Linked DNA regions of Drosophila melanogaster. The protein of the gene in region 1 binds, or shares a complex with, the protein of each later gene. Each region holds a gene or a part of one and is shown on either strand. Other genes may lie near its edges. A codon is read from its position in the direction of its gene.

Region 1 (3,316 bases):
GGTCTGCGAGCACTGGACCAGGCAAGCCAGCCATTGTGTGAACTGGAAGCGGCATACAATGCCCAAAAGAAGCAATTGGCGGCTGGTCATGAGCACGCTTTGCCGCCCTCTCAAATATTCGGCCATTTGCGAGAAGTCTTTGCCGATATCCAAAGTGTTCTAGGAGCTAGAAAGAGTACTCCAGATGAGAATTGTACCACAACATCTACAGGCAACCAGTTGGAAGTGCGCCAGAGGGTGCGGAACAAGGCCATGTACGGCGTCGAGGAACGGGAGCCGCAAAACCAGGCGGATGAACTAGAAGTGCAGCTGGAGGTCAACGAGACTTATCAACGCCGCATGTCCTCGGCCACCGTTTTTCAGAGGGAACTTCCAGCAGACGTGCAGCAAGAGTATGAGATGATTGAGTTTAGTGACGACGAGGAAATGGAAGTGGGTGAAAGCGAGGAGGTCACGGAAGAAGAACTCAAAGCTATTTTGGATACTTGAGTTAGTTTATAAAACTTTTACATAATTAAATAACTAGCATTTTTGCGCGATGTGATCTTGTTTATCTGTTGCACATAAAATATTCATTGTATTTAAGTATGTAGGATAGGATATATAACTATATAGGATATAAGTTTCCTAGGCTTTGCTATTCTTATATAAAGAGTTGAAAAGTATATTGAAGATTATTATTTATTATATAATATTAAATACTCTCGACTAGTTTGGATTTGAATTTCAAAAGTCGAGGATAAAAGGTTTAATTATAATTCGCTTGCGTTGGCTTTATTAAAATATAGACTTAATAAAAAAGTTAGGATTTTATTTAAGTTTTGCTCACCTGCGTGGTCTTGCCACATCCTGTTTCGCCCTTAATAATGACTACCGGATGAGCATTGATGGCCGCCAATATTTCCTCGCGCTTGGCGTAGATGGACAAGTTCTTGTCGCGATTCAGATTGAATCTGAACTTCTTGTAGTACTCGTCATCCCGGCGAATTTCGGTCTCTTCCCCCTCATCGTCGGTGTCCAAATCGTCCAGCGTTCGAATGCGTTTGCCTTGAGGCTGTTCGTTGAGCAGCGTCTGGATCGAATTACACATAAACAAACAGAAGTGCTGACGCAAGCTTCCAGTTCTCACCCCGTTCAGGAGACACTTTTCCTTGGCGACGATTTTGCTGACATAGTCGGTGCCGATCAACTCGCGGTTGGGCACTTCGGATGATTTGAACTTCGTGGCCATTAGCCTCGGATCGCTGCTGATGTAGCCTTGCGGGGCGGCGGCCACGCGCTTCAACTCCTTCGAGAAGTCAAAGAAATCCATAACCTCCTGATCCATTTTCCGACATAAACAATGAAAAATTTCACAATTCCGCGTAGCGGGAAAAGTTAAACTGTAAATTGTAGTGGTGGGGATTTTCAAAGTCAATGTTGAAAAGTGTAAAAGTGCGAATTTATATCGATAGTGCCATTATCGAAGCTTTAAGGTTTTTATTAGGGGTATTCGTATAAAAAAAATGTTTTCTTTTTTTTCTCACAGTCTTTCTGGATTATTTGTTAATATTATTTATTATTTTTACACGAATATTTAATTCTTTGTTACATTATTTATATTTTATATCTCATATTTTATTTTTGGTTTATGTCATTAAGAAACTACGATATATTTGAATACGATATTTGAGCATTGAATTTATGTGGGTAATCGAAAGAAACCCAGCTCTAATTTGTTCGGGCAAATTCAATAGCAAAACAACTTCTTTGGCAATTTTAGTTTAATTTGGTCGCAAAAATGTCGCTAACTATGCGAATTTTCACCGCATCGCGCAACGGTAGGTGGCGACCCATCCCCTCACATCCGTTGTTTTCCGGGAAATTTCCCATTTTCGTGGAAATCGCGGCGAGTGAGGTTATGTAAGCTTATGTCATACCAAAACAAAAGTCTAAACTCGCTTAATTCAGTATAACTTTTCGACTTAAGCATGTTATTTAATGGTAAAATGTTCTCCCCACAGGACAGCGCCTGTTTGGCAGCCATGGAGCCCGGCTGCTGGCCGCCCAGCGAGCAGAACCCAAAGATATCGTCGAGGTTCCCAAGGGCTATGTGTATGTAAACAACAAGGAACTGAGCATGGAGTTTGCCGACATCACGGACCGTGCTGCATCCACCATGTTCTTCGGTGAACTCTTACGTGGATTTGCCGTCACCCTGGCGCACATCTTCAAGGAACCGGCCACTATCAACTATCCCTTTGAAAAGGGACCACTGAGCCCGCGATTCCGCGGAGAACATGCCCTTCGTCGTTATCCCAGTGGAGAGGAGCGCTGCATCGCTTGCAAGCTATGCGAGGCTATTTGCCCCGCACAGGCGATCACCATCGAAGCGGAGGAGCGCGCGGATGGCAGCAGACGTACCACACGCTACGATATCGACATGACCAAGTGCATCTACTGCGGATTCTGTCAGGTGAGGAGGAGCAAAGTGGCGCCACAATTTACTAGAAACTAATTGCATCTTTTTGTCCCCCCGCGTAGGAAGCCTGTCCCGTGGACGCCATCGTCGAGGGACCCAACTTCGAGTTCTCCACGGAGACGCACGAGGAGCTGCTGTACAACAAGGAGAAGCTTCTCTGCAACGGCGACAAGTGGGAGTCCGAGATTGCCTCTAACTTGCAGGCCGACCATCTCTATCGTTAAAGTTGCTTGTACCCCTAGAATTCCTTGTTTAGAACGATTTTCCAATTAAAGATCGTTGCTGTGGCTTCGTCTTAAGCGAAAGTCAGTTGTATTTTTTTTAATTACTCAACTGGCCTAATAAATATAAATTATTTATATTCAAAGAGTTCCACGTTGTATTCGACAGATGACAAAGTTTATTTAATTAACAGGCCAATAGAAAGCATTTTTTCCAATGACGGAGCGACTACAAATAAATGAAACTTAGTTAATACTTTACTATTCCGATTTTGATTACACAAATTATAGGCAATAACTTCCATTTGCTGGTCAGTTATTAGAAACAGATATTATTTATGAAAGTTACTTGCAGTTTTATCCACGTTAATTTTGTAAAAAGAATTTACATAAATTAATTAAAACAGAAAGGCTTACAAATTCAAATAATTTATTTAGTGGTTAATGAATTTAATTAATTGTGACACGTTGGCAGTGATACTGCAAATTAGGACCACGCTGCGAGTAAAACTTAATTGAAGGGTATTTTTACCCGTCGTAGAAGCAAAACAAGATACCAGATATTGTGGATAGCTGTTTATTGTCCAGGTCCAGCCAGACTCTTCTCCATGAACTTTTTCTTCGCGAAGCAGGT
Region 2 (3,378 bases), on another chromosome or scaffold:
CGGTGAGGTCTTCTGGACCAACGCCCCGGTGGCCACGAGGTGTCTTCTTTGCGTTGTCTTCAGCAGCGATGAGTTGGCTACCCACACGCTGACCGGGAAGCCGTCGCCCGCATTCTACGGCCGCGAAAGACCCCCAAAGCTCCAGTTAGACCAACGCAAGGTGGACGACATCGTGGTCTGTGTGAGAAACCGGACGGGCGGCAAGGAACGGGTGATTCGGGCCACCATCACTACCAAGTGTGCGGATACCGCCAAGAAGTACAAGAGGCGGGCCAAGAAGGCCCAGAAGGTCGCCATCAAGGAGGAGTATTAGCATGGAGTGGACAACTATTGGCTAGATATAATCCAGCTATGATCAAGCTCTTCTCAACGACGCGCCACGAAAGGCGCAGAAAGACATTGTATATATTCGTAGTAGGTCCTGCTAAAAGTAAAAGTAAAGTTATATAATCTAGCTGTGATTGAATAAAGACAAGATGAAACCAATTCAAAACCTGAATAATATGGGAATAGGCAGAGTTACTTCACTTTTCTGTCCATTGCTAAAATTGTTCTTCGAGTGCAGAGTCAACAAAATTGGGTTTATTAACTCGATCGGGTGTTCTCATCAATCGCAGCCATTTGCACTTGAATTTAAAAATAATTATAAGCTATGCCACACTACTGCTTCTTCGCCTTGGGTTCCCAGGCCTCCACTTTGTTGGGTGTTGTGGAGTAGGGGTAGTAGGCCTCTGCAAGAGCAGGATTGAATTAGGGGGCTTACTTAATGGGAATAGTGCATAGTTACCCTTAGTTCCGGAAAGATTCTCGCTGTGGTCCGCTATCCACTTGTACTTGGGGCGGCATCCATCGCGAATGGGAGGCAGATCGGTCTATAAGGAAAAAGGTAATAACATGTGCGACAAGATGTAGTCTAAACCCACCTTGTAGTGCATCCAGCCGTACCACTCGGCGGGAATCATGGATCCATCGTAGTCCATGTTGACGTGGGGGGCGAACTCGATCCAGCGATTGCGGCCGTAGAAGTAGTACGGGTTCTCGAAGTACTTGTTGCCGTACTTGTCGATGCCCACCAGGGTTCCGATCTTCAGATCATCGTTCCTGGAAAATAGCGCATATGCGGTTTTCAGGATTGGAGCAATCTTATATAAGATCGAGACTCACCTATAGAGCTTCAGGTACGCTTGCTTCAGTCCTCCGGCTTCGCGGACCATCTGGAACAGCTTTGTCAGCCGGTTGATGCCCAAAAACTTTGCCATGCTGCCGGGAAAACCCAGAAATATATTAAACGTAAATAATTTCGATTTTCTTGGACTCACTTGAAACAAAAACAAAGTCAATCTGCAGTGTGGCCAGGAGAGGTCAAAAGCACCAGCTAGAAATACTGAATCATATCAATCATATTCTTTGAAGTAAAAATGGAACAAGATTGGTCGAAACCTACTCTCAAAATATTTTTAAAGCTCATTAGACTTTCATTTGCTGAGATAAGTGATTGTGAAACTCATGTTTTTTGTTGCTTGGATGTATCCTGTGCATTATTGGCGCTTTGGTAATAATACTGCAGCTAGTATTTTCTGAGGTTCGGCCACACTGCCACTCATCTGTTTTGCCTTGCCGGATTTTGTGATTCATATTTTTGTAGAGAAAAGTGGTGGGAATTTAGCGAAAACATGGCCAAAAACACGTCCAGCAACGCGTTCCGCAAGATCGATGTGGACCAGTACAATGAGGACAACTTCCGGGAGGATGATGGGGTGGAGAGCGCGGCAGCCGGTCCGGATGAGAGCGAGATTACGACGCTGCTGACGCAGGGAAAATCCGTGGAGGCGCTCCTGAGTGCGCTGCAGAATGCCCCGCTGCGCTGCAAGAACCAGAATGTGAAGGTGGGTAGCCACACCTATTCGTATCGAGAACCCTATAAAGCTAATCCTTCCTTGCATTGCAGGACCACGCCCTGAACATCACGCTGCGGGTGCTGCTGTCCATCAAGTCGACGCAAATGGACCAGGCCATCGACACCTTGGACCAGAACGACCTAATAGACGTGCTGATGAAGTACATATATCGGGGATTCGAGATCCCCTCGGAGGGCTCCAGTGGCCACCTGCTGCAGTGGCATGAGAAGGCCTTCGCCAAGGGAGGAGTGGGCTGCATTGTCCGCGTGCTGTCCGACACAAATCGCGCCTAGAGGAGATCAGCACAGCCAAAGGCGGTCATAGAGTCACTACCCCAACTGTTCCCTGCCCCATAAACCGATTCATACGCATCGCGGAGCATTTAATCAACACAGGATTGGAGCACTGGACACCACATCCTTATCTTCGGGATTTGCCACGCCCCAGCTGGAACCCACTTCTGTTTCTTCGCCGCAATACAAATGACGTTTTCCAAATTAGATTTTAACTGGTATCCAAGTATTAAAGTTTTTATTACGAAAGGTGAGTGGCAGTGATTTCAATCAGGGGAACGAACGTACTTCTAGTTCACTCAAGCCACACCTACATGTAACATAATTTGTAAGAAAAATTTTGTTTTTAGTAAGGCTAAGCAATTGCTACGCATCTCAAAACTCAGGAAGATTCAACTCCTATCAGATTTAAACACTTATTAATCTTCAGACTGAGCCTAGCAACTTTACGAACATAATGGCTTATCTAATCGAAATTCCAGGTGTATCATTCAACATGATGACGTTGCCTTCGTAAACTTTTAGCTGCCGTGACAGAAAACACATCTACTATGTTTGAATCAACCTTTTCTGCTTTATTTGACTATTCAATGTGTAATAAGTGCTTTGAGTAACCTAATCAAACCAATCACGGCGTCTACAACTTCTTATTAATTTAAAAAGCGGAGAGGCTCGATGATAGACAAATGCCAGGCGAATAGAAATGCGAGTTGGCTAAATGAAAGGCCCAGAATTTGGGGGTCGCATGCAATTTGATGATATTTCAGTGCTCGGTAGGGGGAACATTTAACAAAGGAGTTCGTTCTCTTTGAACGCGTCTTCAATAAATAGTTTTTATGTTGCTTATATGCGGGGATTATTAAGTCGAAACGGGTTGCTCCAATCGCTGACCAGCCTACCACATGTGGGTCTCGCGGATTTCGCTGATGATGTGATTCGCTCGCGTCAGTGCCTGAAATCAAAAGTAAGTTTAAAACGATGTCAAGCTAAGTATAAGCTAGCCAAGCGCACCTTCAGCATATCTGCCGCCTCTTTTCGGCGCACTGCAATGTGATCGGACTCGTTGAGCAGGGTTTCAGCCTTATCCGACTTATACAGATGTGTAACCAATTCGCTCTGCAAGTTGTCCTTAACGTAGTTAACCAAGAAATGCATGATGGCCTTTGGAACCGAGTCTTGTATGGATT

What was found. Proteins that work in one complex are often made in the same cells at the same time.
Region 2: the proteins of ND-23 (region 1) and ND-B17.2 are in contact, whole or in part, in a cryo-EM structure (PDB 8ESZ), measured with the Drosophila melanogaster proteins. Residues at the interface, in NP_524719.1 of Drosophila melanogaster: Glu85 (codon at 2,216), Pro86 (codon at 2,219), Ala87 (codon at 2,222), Thr88 (codon at 2,225), Ile89 (codon at 2,228), Asn90 (codon at 2,231), Pro92 (codon at 2,237), Phe93 (codon at 2,240), Glu94 (codon at 2,243), Lys95 (codon at 2,246), Gly96 (codon at 2,249), Pro97 (codon at 2,252), Leu98 (codon at 2,255), Ser99 (codon at 2,258), Pro100 (codon at 2,261), Phe102 (codon at 2,267), Arg110 (codon at 2,291), Tyr111 (codon at 2,294), Pro112 (codon at 2,297), Ser113 (codon at 2,300), Gly114 (codon at 2,303), Glu136 (codon at 2,369), Thr148 (codon at 2,405), Arg149 (codon at 2,408), Pro176 (codon at 2,557), Asn177 (codon at 2,560), Phe178 (codon at 2,563), Glu179 (codon at 2,566), Phe180 (codon at 2,569), Ser181 (codon at 2,572); in NP_001137770.1 of Drosophila melanogaster: Arg32, Asn33, Asp34, Asp35, Lys37, Phe58, Tyr59, Gly60, Arg61, Arg63, Trp64, Ile65, Phe67, Tyr75, Asp76, Gly77, Ser78, Ile80, Pro81, Ala82, Glu83, Tyr85, Gly86, Met88, His89, Tyr90, Lys91, Thr92, Cys101, Arg102.

Annotation. Positions count from the first base shown.
Region 1 is NT_033777.3:15,835,494-15,838,809, reverse strand, and holds ND-23 (NADH dehydrogenase (ubiquinone) 23 kDa subunit), read left to right. Parts: upstream 1-1,692; 5' UTR 1,693-1,780; coding exon 1,781-1,820; intron 1,821-2,003; coding exon 2,004-2,455; exon of another isoform or gene 2,456-2,523; coding exon 2,524-2,685; 3' UTR 2,686-2,762; downstream 2,763-3,316. Other genes in the region: Pbp45 (PSEA-binding protein 45kD), read left to right, coding at 1-489; spn-E (spindle E), read right to left, coding at 830-1,072, 1,130-1,327; Arpc3A (Actin-related protein 2/3 complex, subunit 3A), read right to left, coding at 3,260-3,316. UniProt on the Drosophila melanogaster protein: Core subunit of the mitochondrial membrane respiratory chain NADH dehydrogenase (Complex I) that is believed to belong to the minimal assembly required for catalysis. Complex I functions in the transfer of electrons from NADH to the respiratory chain.
Region 2 is NT_033779.5:2,578,696-2,582,073, forward strand, and holds ND-B17.2 (NADH dehydrogenase (ubiquinone) B17.2 subunit), read right to left. Parts: upstream 1,478-3,378; 5' UTR 1,445-1,477; intron 1,376-1,444; 5' UTR 1,260-1,375; coding exon 1,165-1,259; intron 1,102-1,164; coding exon 924-1,101; intron 873-923; coding exon 788-872; intron 732-787; coding exon 661-731; 3' UTR 562-660; downstream 1-561. Other genes in the region: Elba2 (early boundary activity 2), read left to right, coding at 1-313; Arpc5 (Actin-related protein 2/3 complex, subunit 5), read left to right, coding at 1,674-1,886, 1,949-2,191; Drp1 (dynamin related protein 1), read right to left, coding at 3,087-3,143, 3,203-3,378.